Mytilus edulis: one gene and its partner. The protein of the gene in region 1 purifies or fractionates together with the protein of each later gene. This does not show direct contact. Links are inferred from orthologs where the notes say so. Each region holds a gene or a part of one and is shown on either strand. Other genes may lie near its edges.

Region 1 (7,958 bases):
AGGCTGTTGGTGGGTTGGTGTACACTTCTTTCTCCAAATACTGTTTGTGTGATTCCTGTTCAAGACCTAAACGTCTGTTTTCATCGGCCATTTCTCTGTTGATGTCTTTGTGTTTCCTGTCCATCTCTCTCTCTAACAACATACCAGCTCGGGCATTGGCATTAGCTTGTCTTGCATGTTCAATTTCTCTTAGTTCATCTTCCTGGTCTCTTCGCTATAAACAAAAGAAAATTGGAGGAAAAATTACTAATTTTAAACAATACTAAATTTTCAATATCAACCTGACAAAAAAATTGTTTGCATGAGTATTCAATTCAAAGCTTTTTTTTTCCATATTAGACCTATTGACAACATACATAACTGATAAGTTAAGGATACCAATTCCTCTTTATAGTATGTTACTTGTATATACTGAGTATATGGTCTCTCTATCTGAAGTTATTCTTAAAAATAATATCAATACTATAATATGTACATGTATTAATGTAATAAGAAACTTGAAATAAAATAAAAGTAAAACAATCAATTTTGAACTGAGAGCCTCTATTGGCTTATGGTCTAGTAGGATGTTGAAAGGAGCTTGTTTGTTGGATTTATTGATTGATAAGTGATTGTTGTGTGCTGCATCAAAGTTGTAAATATATTGATGCTAGTTTGTTAGGTTTGGTAAGAAACATGTGTTTATGCTATTTAAAGAAAGGTCTGTTTGATTGGATATATAAAGTATGCGGAAGAATTTCATGCACGGGGGGTTTGATAGTAGTTAAAGTCATTCGAGTCATTGCAGTCAAGTGCTCTAGATGCTTTTTTCCAAATAAATAATTATAAAAATTATTTAGTAACAGGTTGATAGTCCAAGAGGAGTCGCAAATATTGATGTGGCAGTGCCAGTTTGAGACAGACAATTCTCATTGATATAAAAAGAATTACGTGTACTTATTACCCGAATAAAAATGCACTTGACTTTTGCTAGTGACTACTCCCATGTGAGAGTTTTGAATTATATTGATAAATGTTTTATGTTCGATTGAGGTTACAAATTAGAACACAAAAAATCTATATCACGACCAGAGCTATTTCAAATATAATAACAAGAAGTGTTTCTATTAAATAAGACAAAAAATTAACTAAGTAACTAAATCATTATTTTAAAGTGAAATATACATGTTTATTTTTAAACTTAATGTGCAAAATTAGAGGAAAGAGTTTTGATCCTTTGCCAATCATAATTAAAAATTGCTTTTAGTGGTAATGTTTATCACAAACCTGTTTCTCTAGCCTTTGTTTTTCTTGTTCCTTTCGTATAGCCTCTAACTGTTGTGGACTCATTCCCTTCCATCTGTCTGGGATGACACGATGAGGACCAAATGCACTTTGAGCAACAGCAGGGTTCTCTGTTAAAGTATCACCAAATATGTGATTGGCGATTTCTGTCATGTTATCATCAAATTCTTGCTGTTTCTTTAGTCTCTCACGTTCATTTCTTTCTCTTGCCTAAACAATGTAATATATTAATTAATATTTTTGTCATAATAAATAAAAATTAAATGTTTGGTGAATCTATCCAGAAATACTTACTTCATAGGACAAATACATACATTTCAGGGGAGATAACTTCTACCACTATTGTTTAATTTTTATGATAATAATATGTAACAATGAAAACAAGTAAAAAGTTGGTACTGTAAATAGATGTTTACTGAATCCCACAATGACATTTATTCATACTGTAGATAATACTTATTTCCTTTTACAATTAAAGCTGAATGATCAAGAACTGAAAACCTCTAAAAATTATATAAATGATCAAATATTTGTTTCTTTGTCAGTACATTGTACCAAGACCCAATTCATCATATACTACTTACTAGTGCATTATTGTAATCTGTGGTGGCCATATTTATTGCCCGTTTACAATCATCTTCAGCTTTTTCAAGTTCCATTCCTCGTTGATCTAATTCCCTCATTTTCAGTTGATATAAACGATCTGCCTCATCTTGATTACGTCTAGCTTGATCTTTTTCATTGGCTTGTTGTGTTGACCATTCTCTTAATTGTTCTTGTTGGAATTTTGTTCTTGCCTTATTATTAAGATCTTCACCTGTATTGAGAAAAGGATAAACATGTAGAAATGTATGTACAGTTTAAAGCACTTAATTTTGATTACTGTCTATTTTGTTTCAAAACACACTAAGATCAATGAGAAAGAATGTGAATATTCTAAACTATTCTAGAGACTTTCAACTAAACTTGATACCTAAACCTTTACAGTAAAAATATTGAATGTAAAAAAGCAGTCTTTACCTTCAAATTTTTGAATACTTGAAATACCACATCTTGGATCATCGTCACTGACACGACCAGGTTTGTCCTTCTTCAAATAATCAGGGTCATATAAATCAAACTCTCTACGACCATCTGGCTGTTGGTGTAAAGATCGGAAATCATTTAATGCCTGATTTAATGCTCTCACATCTTGCGCCTGTCTTTTCTCTAACATCTCAGAAATTTTGTCATTTCTAACAGCATCAGCAGCTGAAAATAAAATGATATAATTACAGCATTTAAAGAGACTCCAAATATTCTTACATCTATTGTTCCACATTGTTTGGCTCTGTCATATAATGGTGAGTCTTTACCACGATGAGAACTTCTAATATTGTTGTCTTTAAATGTGTTTATAATTATTTTTTTTCCTTAAAAGAACTAGGTGGCAGAAATTTAGCCATCTCTTCTAAATTTAATTCTTTCCATATCTTATTCATACAGGTATAACATAAGCTAATTTAGAGCTTGGTATGATAAGAGCCAATTTATAGCATATAATCAAGCCACTTGTATATTTTTTGAAGAAAATATTATGTTGACTGCAAGATATCTTTTGAATGTTTAATGTGTTTTCTTAGTCTTCTTAGTGCATTCTCTAGATACATGACACATTCCCCATTTCCATTCTCAATTTTATATATTTCCTTTTATACATGTACATGTCAATAAGGTTAAAATGATATCATTTTGAATGTGAATTCAATATTCTTAATATTATAAAAAGAACTTTACTTTTCTGATCCATGTATCAATTGTGTGAAATAAAATATCTGCATGTAAAACTATTACCTTATATATCATTTGTTACTTGTAAGTTGTAATAGTGTAAAAGAGTATTCTTCACATTCTAAATGATTCTTAAGCATCTGTAAAACATGCTGAAGTTGCTTAGTTCATACATTTGTGAGTAACTTTTTAACAATAAAAATATCTTTTAAAGAAAAATTACCGAAAGCTTCACTTCTTTTCCGTTCATAATCCTCCTGTTCCTTTTTGTCTCTAACTTGTTGTTCAATAGCTTGTAAGTCTACCTAAAATTAAATAAAAAGTTGAAAACATTTTAATAACAATGGTGACTATTATACATCTACTAAGGTGACAGTTTATTAATGTTCAATTTTGTTTGTTCTTGAGTCAATGTACATTGAAAGTGATTGCCTTCTTCAAAAAATTAAACAATTGCAGATCTGCTCTCTTAGACCAAATTGTTTTTTAATGAATGAGTTACCATTGTGTACATAGTGTAAATGATATCAGTGAATAATGAGTTCTTACTGTCACAGAGAAAAAAATGAATTTGAAAGTCAATCTTTTAATTGTTTCACCTCATGATCGATATTTTAGCTATTTGTATTTTAGCAAACTCTTTAGCTAGTTGCACAATTCATATAAATGAGGATATATTTTCTGCAAACTTGTAAAACTAATAACCATCCCAAGCTCAACAGGTAGCAGATCTAGAAGCCTTACAAAGATAATGTTAACCCTAGTAGGAGATTCAGACTTAACATTTTAAGATGCATGCATAATTTCTACGCTTCATATTACTCATTCTGAAGAGCCAAGGGGAAACAAATATCAATAAAGATAAATTATAGATCATAATATATTGTATTCAAGTATTCTACTAGGTAAAACAAAGGGAAACTTATAAATGGTTGCGTCAACACTAATATTCAGCAAATTTTCAACAAAATTTAACATATTCTGTTCAAATAATAAACATAACGCAACTAGACAACAATAAGAAAGAAAAAAAATGGACTCAGGGCGAACAGGTATCAGGGCAAACAGAAACTAGGGAGAACGTGAATCAGGGCGAACAAACCCGGATTAAGGAAGAATACTGCTTTCGAATTTTGTTATATACTTTTTCAGTGGTAGTGGTAGGTGTACTGAAGTGGATAGAGACCTACAAATTGGTACCATTGGCGAATCCGGGGGGGGGGGGGGGGGGGGGGGGGGGGGTTCTGGGGGTTGGAACCCCCCTTTTTTTTTGGACGATCAATGCATTTGAATGAGGACATATAGTTGGATCCCCCCCCCTTTTGTCCTGGGTTGGGCACCCCCCTTTTTAAAATGGCTGGATACGCCCCTGGGTACAATGGTGATACAACGTAGATGTGGGAAAGTAAACCTTAACTTTTGCATAATGCATAATGCAAATGAATGAGGATATTCTTACCCCAATAGTTCTGCATTTAGAATTAAAGATTCTTGACTTTCTTTGATCTTCCATCAACCTACGGCGCTCAATTGCAGCCGCTTCCTTGTAATCTACTGGAAGATCGAGTTTGTACATTTTGAAAACAAGTTAAAGATAAACACTGGAAGAAATCCGACAGCTTCACTGATTATCTCGTTGCTAAGTTTACACGGTTGTTATCCGGAAGTTGACTGCGTATCTACAAAACATATGAATACATGACTGATCATTTACAAAAACAATATGCATATAAATATGTCAATATACATTAACCAAATAATATGTGATGATATATTTTAACCTTTTTAACTACAATGACATTTTCAACAAATTATTTCTGAGGATTTTTTCACCGCCGATTAGTCTCGCACTAATCTCGGTAAAAACGAGAACAATGGGAAGCGACGTCTGTTGGCGCTAAAAATTTGCATTCATAATGTAAACCAAAATATTTACATTTTCTTTTAACGTAGAAGTTAAAATCGTGATCTCTTCCAACCACCCACCTCACAACTTACAACAAATATCTTCTAGTTCAAAATGCCAGGTCACTTGAAATACATCGAGGTGGAAAACTTCAAATCATATCGTGGTAAACAAAAGATTGGACCCTTCAACAAATTTACTGCTGTAATTGGTCCAAATGGTTCAGGTAAATTATACTTTATTGATAAAAGGTAGCACACAAAACCATATACAAAATCAAGCGTCTTAGTTGAAAAAAGCATTATTTTTAAGTCCTTCAAATAAAGCACAGAACGTTTTTGGTTGGCAATATTATGGTGCCAATCACAGGGGAGGTAATCCCTTTGGGAATTTATGAGGCTGAATGCGCCACCATCAAGACCACTTGAAATACATCTGGATGATCAGACCATTTTCTATACCCGTGAATTGTTGACCGCTCTACAAATAACACAAATAATTGTTGGATTCAGCATCGTTGAACAATCACAATGTCAATGATCAGTTATTAATGCGCAGTGGCGGATCAAGGGGTAGGGTACTGGGGATTGGAACCCCCCTATTTTTTTGGACGATTAATGCATTTGAATGGGGACATATAGTAAGAACCCCCCTTTGTTCCTGGTTGAGAACCCTCCCTTTTTAAAATGGCTGGATCCGATCCTGCTGCGATACATCGAATGACCGAATAACACTGGTATTATCCTAATATTTTGATATAAGCACATATTGGTAACTATTAAACATTGATTATCAAATAATCAATGTTTAAAAGACACCAACTGTGGCAACATGTGTTAATAATATGAGGCAGGCATAACCTGTGAATGGGGACGAAGTCTCTATGTATTATTTTTTTTATTCAATCACGTTGATAAAAGAAACCGAAATACCGTACGTAACGTTCCTGATTTTGATTCTGTTGTTAGGGAATTAGCTGTGACGTTCTTTAAGTTATGACGTCATATTCGATGTAAACAAAAGAAACGCTTTCATCAGGTAATGTTTTTTCATATCAAACAATTATTAAAATTGAATTTGTATTGAGATCCAATCTTAATATATTTTACTAGACTGATAAATATAAATTTTTTCAAAGTCTCATGCAAACAAGACAGATATCTGCGCAAAAGCAGAGAAAACCGGAACAGGAAGTAGATCTGAAAAAAAAAGTTAACGATTTTGAGTTCATTAGTAGAATGGAAAATTCGGGAATTTTTTTTTTTTTTTTATTGATTTTTCTACCGTAATTGGGGACTTCGTCCCCTTATTAAAATTTCAAGTGTTATTTGGTCATTACAAGTGTTATTCAGTCAATCATGTTACCTGTTATTACTGTGTCGTGTGATAATGACGATTAATGTAATAATTTAAGCACATGTGACATTAGAAATTTAAGCAAAAATGCAGGAACTAAGTAGCCGTCTTTTTAAGAATGAACATGATGAACTTAGCCTATGATCAAAATGACAATATTTGTATGTCATTATATGACTATTATACATATTGGTAAAGAAAACCTTTTGACATAGTTCATGTAGTTCAAAGATCTTCACTTTATTTTAAAACAATAAATTAAAAAACTATTACTTTACAGCAAAACGCTTAACTGAAGCAACATTTGAAAAATTATTGAAATTAAATTTTAAAAAAGAAGGGATAAAAAAAGACATTCTAAATACAAAAAAAACAAACTATATGAGATTCAAACACACTTACTACATGTGGCTGCATCATGTAAACTTGCCAATTACTTTGTTAAATTAGCTCAAAGGCCCATTCTCCAGAATTGTTTCAGATACAGACTATATTCAATTAAGTTGATTCAAATGACAAATTCTTGTTATTGATTTGATATCATATCACTGACCTCGGGCCATGCAGAATGAAGATTCTTAAAAACTCATAGTAATAAGCTTTTAAAAGGCTGACAAGGAAAAAATTACTTTTCTGCACAAATAACTAAAATTACCTTGTAAAGTAACTGCATGTGAATGACATCAATTGAATCTCTTTTTAAATGCAATACCACTTATTACCTGTCTCTACATGTGAAAAAATAGAACCTGAATGTAAAGTTTTTCTACTAAAACAATTGAAATATATGATGACATCAGGAATTGACACACATTTATGTACCTTAAAGATAGACTTAATTAATTAGGCAGATATGTGAACACTATTCACATTGATAATGCAAACTAATTGGATATATTGACACTAATTGGGAACATTTTCTCAATTCTTAAAACAAAACAAGAATAAACAAACGTACATGCATTTAACATGTTATCTTTTTTTGTAGCTGTTATATTCATTATTTTGTAGCTGTAATATTCATTTTTTTTAACATTTGTACATCTTTATGCCCGAACTGACATCTTTGTGATATGCATGACCTTCAGATATCTGAAATTTTAACTTAATAAAATGTATATTAAAATTTCTTTTTAGGAAAATCTAACTTGATGGACGCCATAAGTTTTGTCCTTGGAGAAAAGACATCAAACTTGCGTGTAAAAAGATTAAGTGTGAGTCTCAAATACATCACATTTAAAATGTTTTTAATTGAGAAAAAATTTACATGGGTACATTGAAGACCCAATGGTGGCCTTCAGCTGTTGTCTTCTCTATGGTCGGGTTATTGTCTCTTTCATTAGATAGATAGTTTCCTTAAGACAGATTGTTTTTTACTATTAAATAAGGCCACCCTTAAAAAATTGTTTGTTTGGCATTGCCGACCCACACTATCAGCAGGTGGGTAGGTAGGTAGGGAATTTTTTTTTTTTTTTACATTTAAAAGCTTTATACATGTAAATCATGAAGTCTCTAGACCAATGTTGTCTAAAGCATTGCAGCATTGTTGTGTGTACATGCTGGTGGTTTCTTTGAACGGGGTCAACCGTCAATGTCACATTCTACATCATATGGATAATTTCATGTAAGACAGTCAGTTTTG
Region 2 (8,072 bases), on another chromosome or scaffold:
TCTAGAAAAATTAGACAAAGGAATTTCATCTTCCTCCTCTTCTGTTCTTTCCTCTATATTCTCAGAATTATCTACAATTTGCTCTTGTCCTTTATGTGATACCTTTAGATTAGGGATAGCAGGACGTCCTAATCCACTCCCTGAGTTTGAAGTTGGAGGGGGTGGTAAAACAGGGGCCTGAACAACTTCTTTTTTCACTGTCTCACCATCTTCAAAATCAAAAGAGAAAGGATCTGCAGATTCTGTCTCTATTTTGACTTTTTTACATGTGACTTCAAATGGATCATCTTCTCTTAAACGACTGAATGAAGTCTTGCCCCACTTGGTCTGTGATGTTGACCTGTTCGCTGCTGAATTTGGTTTAAGAGCATCATCAAATGCTTTACTCTGAGCAGCTTCTCTGTTGGCCTTCCCATAGGTTTTAACAGCAGATTTGGTAGCCATGTTGTATCTAAAATATAAGTATATAAAAGCATGAATATTGAATTTCAAAGTTCATTCAAGTCTGAAAAATTAATCATTAAAAATCAAATTCAGATTGAAACTAATTATTGTTTTTTTTAGTTTTTCAGTAAAATATTCATACAGAAGTTTACTTTTTTGCATAACAGATTCAGTTCTTCATTATCCACTATAATCCCTAAGTTCAAGTATATATATAGTTAATAAAAATACCAAACATTTCAACAGAACACACACAAAACATGGGAAATACGACTTTTCACAAAGAATAAGGATAGACTTCATGAGCATTTGCTGCCACATTCATGTCCACACATTTCTTTGAAATTATCAAGTTGAAAAATAACGTACATGTACTGAAAAGAATTTAGCATAATTAAAAAGTAACACAGGAAACAAACAATTATCTGATTGGGGAAAATTCTCATAAATGGGTACTATCCCCATTTTGGGGTAAAAATTGTATTCATTTATTATACTTTACATATATTTAATTTATACATAGAATTCTAGTGGGTAACATGTTATCACGTGACATGGAATAATTCAGCTAATTTTCATTTAATTGCAAGGAAGGACAAATATGCCTAAAAATTTATAACAGCTGAGAATAACCCTATTAATCACTGGCAAGTAACCTTTTTGGTTTCTTGATTATTACATAAGTTATCTCCCATGAAAGAGATGTCACAGACGTAATTAAACAAAAGTGCAAAGTTCACGTTACTGGAAGACCATCGATCAAGAGAATAAGAAATAAGAATTTGGAAGATCATCTTGTGCCGATGATATCTCTCATAAATGGTCCTTTGGCTTGTTTATACTATACAAATCATTGGTTGTACAAACAAGAATTCTAAGACACTAATGTATTTTTGAACATAAACTTTGTATGTCTACTGACTAAAGTAAGTAAAGTGCTCTTAGTGATTCAAAATACCCTTCCACTGTTAGTTTGGTATAATAAAACAATTGTGGCCCCTTAGAAGCGATGAATGTCAAAATTGTCAACCCTTCAAAATTATTATACTTAAACTTCTTGTGTTAACAGTTTTAGATATTCACCTTGTCTATGGGTCATTATTGAAAATTATACCCAACAATTGAAAATAGAATTTAATGATGTAAATACTGCATGTATTTAGCTTGGTATGAGTAAAAACATTGAAGATTTTAAATGAAAAACACTAAAAGATTTTAACAGCTTGGCTCCTTTGATCTGAAACAATGAAACAAAAAAATCATAGCAATGCACTAACCAAAACATGCTTAAAATTTATTCAACACAAATACCTTGTTATAGTCTCAATTTATTTTGAAACAATGAAATAAAAGTTAGCAATACACTTAACCAAAAAAAGATTACGATTTATTCAACACAACAAACACGTCTTAATTTAATTTAGGACAATGACAACAAATATACTTATAGGAATACACTGACTTGCCAAAACTTAATTATAAAGTTATTAAACACAAAACCAATAAAAATCTGGCGCGAACGTGTAGGGTGTGAAAGTGAAAGGGAGCGGACGTGATAGGGTGCGAACGTGAATGGGCGCGAACAGACTCAGATTCTTTTAGGGGTATAATACCAATACACCTTATTGCTATTTAGAAATCTGTCCTGCTTGACCAGATAATCGGACCCTTCTAAACTATTGACATCCTACCACAATCACTTTTCCATTGTGGGCGTCAGATAATTTGTATTTATTACATCAAAATTTTAATGGAACCTTTGAGATGTACAGTAATAGCGAACAAATAGGTATTTGCAGTATATAATTTGTTTCCCAATCCACTATAAATAAATATGTTTAAAGCTAAGTGGTGATAATATCCAAACTTGAATATGAACAGCTGTAGACTAGTCCACATTCATCTAGCCTGGGGTCCTGGCTAATCTTGTCAGTATACGAGGCGCAGCTAGATTGGGCCGGATGCCAGGCTAACATTCATCTTGACAAAATACCTAAATAGTTGTTGTAGTAAAGGTAAAAGCAAAGATTTTTTTAAAGTATGAAGTATGCACAAACAACATGCCAAGTCATCTGCCATGATCTCGATTTGAAAAGTATAAATTATAATTTATACGCAATACAACAAGATCTTAGTTGATCCTGATGTAGCTACGAGGAACAATATAATCGTCAATTATTTGTTTTTCACAGAAAGTAGTTTAATATCTCAAAAAAATAACTCTAAGCTAGACGTAAATCAATGTGCATATCTATCAGAAAAGGCGAAAAAAGATTGATCATTTTGAGGAGGTAAGATAACTCGTACAAGAGAAAGATTGCGTTCATTCGTCCATCTGAGAACGTGTCGCGCCAAATTCTTTGAGTAAAATGTTGCGTAAATGCATAATATTGTAATGAAAAACTCCCATTTTCAATTCACCTGTTAAAAACAAATCTGCATGATATACAAACACAATCGGCAGCTATCGCCTGTACAGCGCCATTTTGAAAATTCTAACAATAACAGTTGTACGCAGGCGCACTCTCATCGCACTTGTCTTTCAGGACAGATTTTACAGGCATTGTTTCGTAAATCAAAGGGGAAATAACTTTAAAAATAGTTCAACTAATCAGTAAGTGTTATTTCCCTTTGACCCATTTTTTCCCCAATCACCTGCACATTATTAAATAATGATTAAAAGCACTACTGTAAATAATTAAAGCAACATTTAGAACAACATACTCATGAATTGGTTATATATTAAATTTTATCCATGGAATGGAAATATTTTTTTTATAGATATTTGTCCTTTAAAAGAAAGAGTCACATGTAAAATATGTTATCTGTAAATATTCGTTGACATAAAATGTTTTTGTTGGCATTATGATGTAATAACACATACAGCTTGGTCTATTGTTTCGGCTTAAATTTTTGATAATTCCTGCTATCCTTTTAGTGTAACTTAGTTTTAAGATCTACCAAGTTACGGCAAGTGCGGCTAATTATTTTATCTACATGTATAAATTACTTTTAAATGTCAATCATGGCCAATAAGCAACACCTCAGGCGGGCACAAGAGAAGATCGAAATGTGTTTTATAAGACAAAATAAAAGTCATGGATGACTCGTGAAATGATCCCCACATTATGGACCTCAGTAGATGTTTGCTCTAACGACCGAGGACTCGTGAAATGCTCCCCACATTATGGACCTCAGTAGATGTTTGCTCTAACGACCGAGGACTCGTGAAATGCTCCCCACATTGACCTCAGTAGATGTTTGCTCTAACGACCGAGGACTCGTGAAATGCTCCCCACATTGACCTCAGTAGATGTTTGCTCTAACGACCGAGGACTCGTGAAATGCTCCCCACATTATGGACCTCAGTAGATGTTTGCCCTAACGAGTGAAATGCTCCCCACATTAAGGATCTCAGTAGATGTTTTGTCTAACGACCGAGGACTCGTGAAATGCTCCCCACATTGACCTCGGTAGATGTTTGCTCTAACGACCGAGGACTCGTGAAATGCTCCCCACATTGACCTCAGTAGATGTATGCTCTAACGACCGAGGACTCGTGAAATGCTCCCCACATTATGGACCTCAGTAGATGTTTGCCCTAACGAGTGAAATGCTCCCCACATTAAGGATCTCAGTAGATGTTTGCTCTAACGACCGAGGACTCGTGAAATGCTCCCCACATTGACCTCGGTAGATGTTTGCTCTAACGACCGAGGACTCGTGAAATGCTCCCCACATTGACCTCAGTAGATGTTTGCTCTAACGACCGAGGACTCGTGAAATGCTCCCCATATTATGGACCTCAGTAGATGTTTGCTCTAACGAGTGAAATGCTCCCCATATTATGGACCTCAGTAGATGTTTGCTCTAACGAGTGAAATGCTCCCCACATTATTGACCTCAGTAGATGTTTTGTCTAACGACCGAGGACTCGTGAAATGCTCCCCACATTGACCTCGTTAGATGTTTGCTCTAACGACCGAGGACTCGTGAAATGCTCCCCACATTGACCTCAGTAGAAGTTTGCTCTAACGACCGAGGACTCGTGAAATGCTCCCCACATTATGGACCTCAGTAGATGTTTGCCCTAACGAGTGAAATGCTCCCCACATTAAGGATCTCAGTAGATGTTTGCTCTAACGACCGAGGACTCGTGAAATGCTCCCCACATTGACCTCGGTAGATGTTTGCTCTAACGACCGAGGACTCGTGAAATGCTCCCCACATTGACCTCAGTAGATGTTTGCTCTAACGACCGAGGACTCGTGAAATGCTCCCCACATTGACCTCAGTAGATGTTTGCTCTAACGACCGAGGACTCGTGAAATGCTCCCCACATTGACCTCAGTAGATGTTTCCTCTAACGACCGAGGACTCGTGAAATGCTCCCCACATTATGGACCTCAGTAGATGTTTGCTCTAACGACCGAGAACTCGTGAAATGCTCCCCACATTATGGACCTCAACAGATTTTTGCGCTAAAGACAGAGGACTCTTGAAACTATCCACACAATATGGATCTCAGCAGGACTAAATAGGTTGGCCGCATCCGTGAGAGCTATAGACGACTTCAAGCTAATCATTCAGCTGTTGTATATTTCATACATACCGGGTATATCATATATATAGAAAACCCTAACTATTCATTGTATCACGATGGCGAGGTAGAACTTGGATAAGTTTATTTTCTATTGAATGGGCCCATGAAAAGCACCACAAAATCACTGATAATACACTATTTTAAACAAAAACGTACAAAGTACAAAGTTTGAACGTAGAACATATCTCTACATTTTGATTTTATATGTACCTGTCGTACTAATATGCCATCCTCACGCCCAGTCACGACAGAGAGGTATTATAATGATCTAAATAATGGAAAAACAAAGGATATTGTGTATCCATCCATAACACAAAATCAGTTAATGCACAACCACAACAACAACAACAACAACAACAACAAAACACACAAAAAGCAAAGGAACAGCGCTTTTATTGCCGTTCTTCATCTCAAAGTCACAGTGAGGCCCTCAACACGGAGCAAATAAAACTCACATCACTGCAAATTTTATACATGTATTTTCATTATAATTATATGGTCATATATATTTATTGATATATCCATATATCTTACATTGAGCAGCATGTCAATTTCCAACCAGAAAGCAACTGCTTATACATTATGGAAAGAGAGAATAAATTGCGGAAAACCTTCATGTTCTCTTATTAAGTTTTAGAATATGTGCTCGATACAAAACAAAAATGTTTTCATCAATTATAGACGACGATGCTGTTAAATGTCCAGTGTCATATTAATTGAATATACAGGACGAGAACATGTTAGTGTGATATTATTTTTAACCATTCTCTGTACTAGACGGACAAGGTAACAATCTTAAGGAAAACATGCTACCCAGACACATTATTCTGCATCCAAGCCTACAAATCGTTGCTCTTACTCATAAATGTCACATGCCTAACTCTTAGCCGTAAATGCCACATGCCTAACTGAGAATCAACACATACAAATGTTCAAGTCTATGTTTTACCCGTCCCTGAATTGAAATCATGACCTCCGGCGGAACTCTAGATGAGCACACAGTCATGAGAATACCAAGGCGATTCAATTTATTGTATTTGTTGTAATGAGTGTTGCTAGCTTACCATCCAGTTGCAATTCAATTTAATTAGATCTTTTGAATTAAATTGCTCATAGCTTGACTAATTGTAGGAACGGTTAAACTTTACTTCGAATTAAACGAAAGATTAGAACTGAGCTGAAATGAGGCTAGCTTGATTTGTTTTATTGACCCCATATGTGTTTTTATGATGAAAGTGTAATTCAATAGACAATCGGTATTGATATGGGAACAAACCGAACTCCTTTTCTCATCGGCACGTTTTTGAATATATTCCGGTATATGAGGCAGTTAAAATCTAATAGTTAATTTATATCCTTCATAAAATGATACCAAGAGTTGAATGGAGTAAGAATAGAAGTACGTTTACCCTGGAATTGCAAATGCTTAGCAGGGTACGTCCGTTTAGATGCGCTGCATATATAAATAAGCAGCTATTTCCAATTGGAATTTTGGGCTTTAATTCCACTGCCTTGTGTAGGGAGAGTGACACGATTTCTTGAAGTTTCAAACCTGAACTGCTACATGTACAATTGCAAACTAGCTGCTCATGTCTTTCGTTGTATTCTTGTCATGTTACAGTTAAATTTGCACCACCTCTGCAGAACCTTTCTATTGGAATATTTTCAATTTGTTTCCCCTATGAATATATATATATATATATATACAACTCGTCTAAACATCAACCCAACAATGTTAGATCTGTAAATTTGCTTTCGCAAATTTTTGGTTCTTCCCTCGACGGGATTCGAACCCATGCTACTGTGATATCGTGACACCAAATCGCCTGCACTGCAGCCGTCCCGCTAGACCACACGACCACCTGGGCTCTCAAAAAAGAGCTTTCGCTGGCCGTGTGTTACCTTTCCACGTCAGTTTTAATCTAGCGGCGTACTGCAGTACATGATATATAAGGCATGAAGATGTTATTGTTACAGATCAGCTAAATTGAGTCAGTGACAACCCTACAACAGAGATATATATATATGACATGCGGTGTTAACCAAATAATCCTATAAAAATCATCTTTTTGAGTCTTTGAATGCTTGGTTTATTCAAGTTCAATCTTTAGCTATATAGCTGATCCATTACCTACAATGGAAAGAGTACAATATTATCTTGGCATATTGAGTTCGATTTTCGTAACATATTGAGTGTGACATTATTATAGCATAAGAAGTGTGTAATATTGTCGTGCCATAATAATTAAAAGCGTTATATTGTTGTGGCATTTAAGAATATCATATTGCCGTGGCATATCAAAAGTGCAATATTGTCATAGCATATTGTGAGTGCAATGTTGCCATAGCATATTTAGAGTGCAATATTATATTTTATTAACCAACTAAGTGCATTATTGCCAAAAATGACTGGTTATTGAAAATAACGTATTTTCTGTAATGGCCCTGTTTTTCTGTAATGGCCCTGTTTTTTCTGTAATGGCCCTGTTTTTCTGTAATGGCCCTGTTTTTCTGCAATGGTCCTGTTATTTCTGCTATGGCCCTGTTTTTCTGTAATGGCCCTGTATTAATGCCCAGCTTGTCTATATTAAGCCCAGTTAGGGTTTTTAATAAAGTTAATAAAATTAAGCTGTAAAGAGTATAATACCTGTTTGTAATTTATTTAATTTAGTAACCAGCAACAAACATTAAAGAACCATATAAAGGGATCACTGTTCATCCCGTTTTTCAACACATAAATTGGTTTCTTTCAACTTAATATCTTGGATATTTGGGATATTTAAAGCTTGATCATGGTGAAGTACAATTTTTTTTTTCAAACTAAACTGTCATTAAAAGAGTAAGAGAGTACACCAAGTTGGCAGCACCACATACACTTTTTCAGTTGGTTAAAAAATGTATTAAGAAATGGGTGTTTTTATAATGGCCCTGTTTTATGTCCTTGGTCAGTAATAATTGCCTCGGATGTCTGTAATGGCCCTCGGCGTTGCTTCGGGCCATTACAGACTTCCTCGACCATTATTGC

The links.
Region 2: the proteins of structural maintenance of chromosomes protein 1A-like (region 1) and wings apart-like protein homolog purify together in Homo sapiens (affinity purification with mass spectrometry; 7 studies listed by BioGRID and IntAct, with this or other methods). This does not show direct contact. The link is inferred for Mytilus edulis from reciprocal best matches to the Homo sapiens genes SMC1A and WAPL.

What each region holds. Positions count from the first base shown.
Region 1 is NC_092344.1:98,597,099-98,605,056, forward strand, and holds the start of structural maintenance of chromosomes protein 1A-like, read left to right. Parts: upstream 1-4,888; 5' UTR 4,889-5,074; coding exon 5,075-5,186; intron 5,187-7,453; coding exon 7,454-7,530; intron 7,531-7,958. Other genes in the region: RIB43A-like with coiled-coils protein 2, read right to left, coding at 1-214, 1,267-1,494, 1,869-2,101, 2,305-2,535, 3,278-3,359, 4,514-4,630. UniProt on the Homo sapiens protein: Involved in chromosome cohesion during cell cycle and in DNA repair. Central component of cohesin complex. The cohesin complex is required for the cohesion of sister chromatids after DNA replication.
Region 2 is NC_092352.1:23,026,408-23,034,479, forward strand, and holds the start of wings apart-like protein homolog, read right to left. Parts: upstream 3,006-8,072; 5' UTR 2,866-3,005; intron 452-2,865; 5' UTR 445-451; coding exon 1-444. UniProt on the Homo sapiens protein: Regulator of sister chromatid cohesion in mitosis which negatively regulates cohesin association with chromatin. Involved in both sister chromatid cohesion during interphase and sister-chromatid resolution during early stages of mitosis.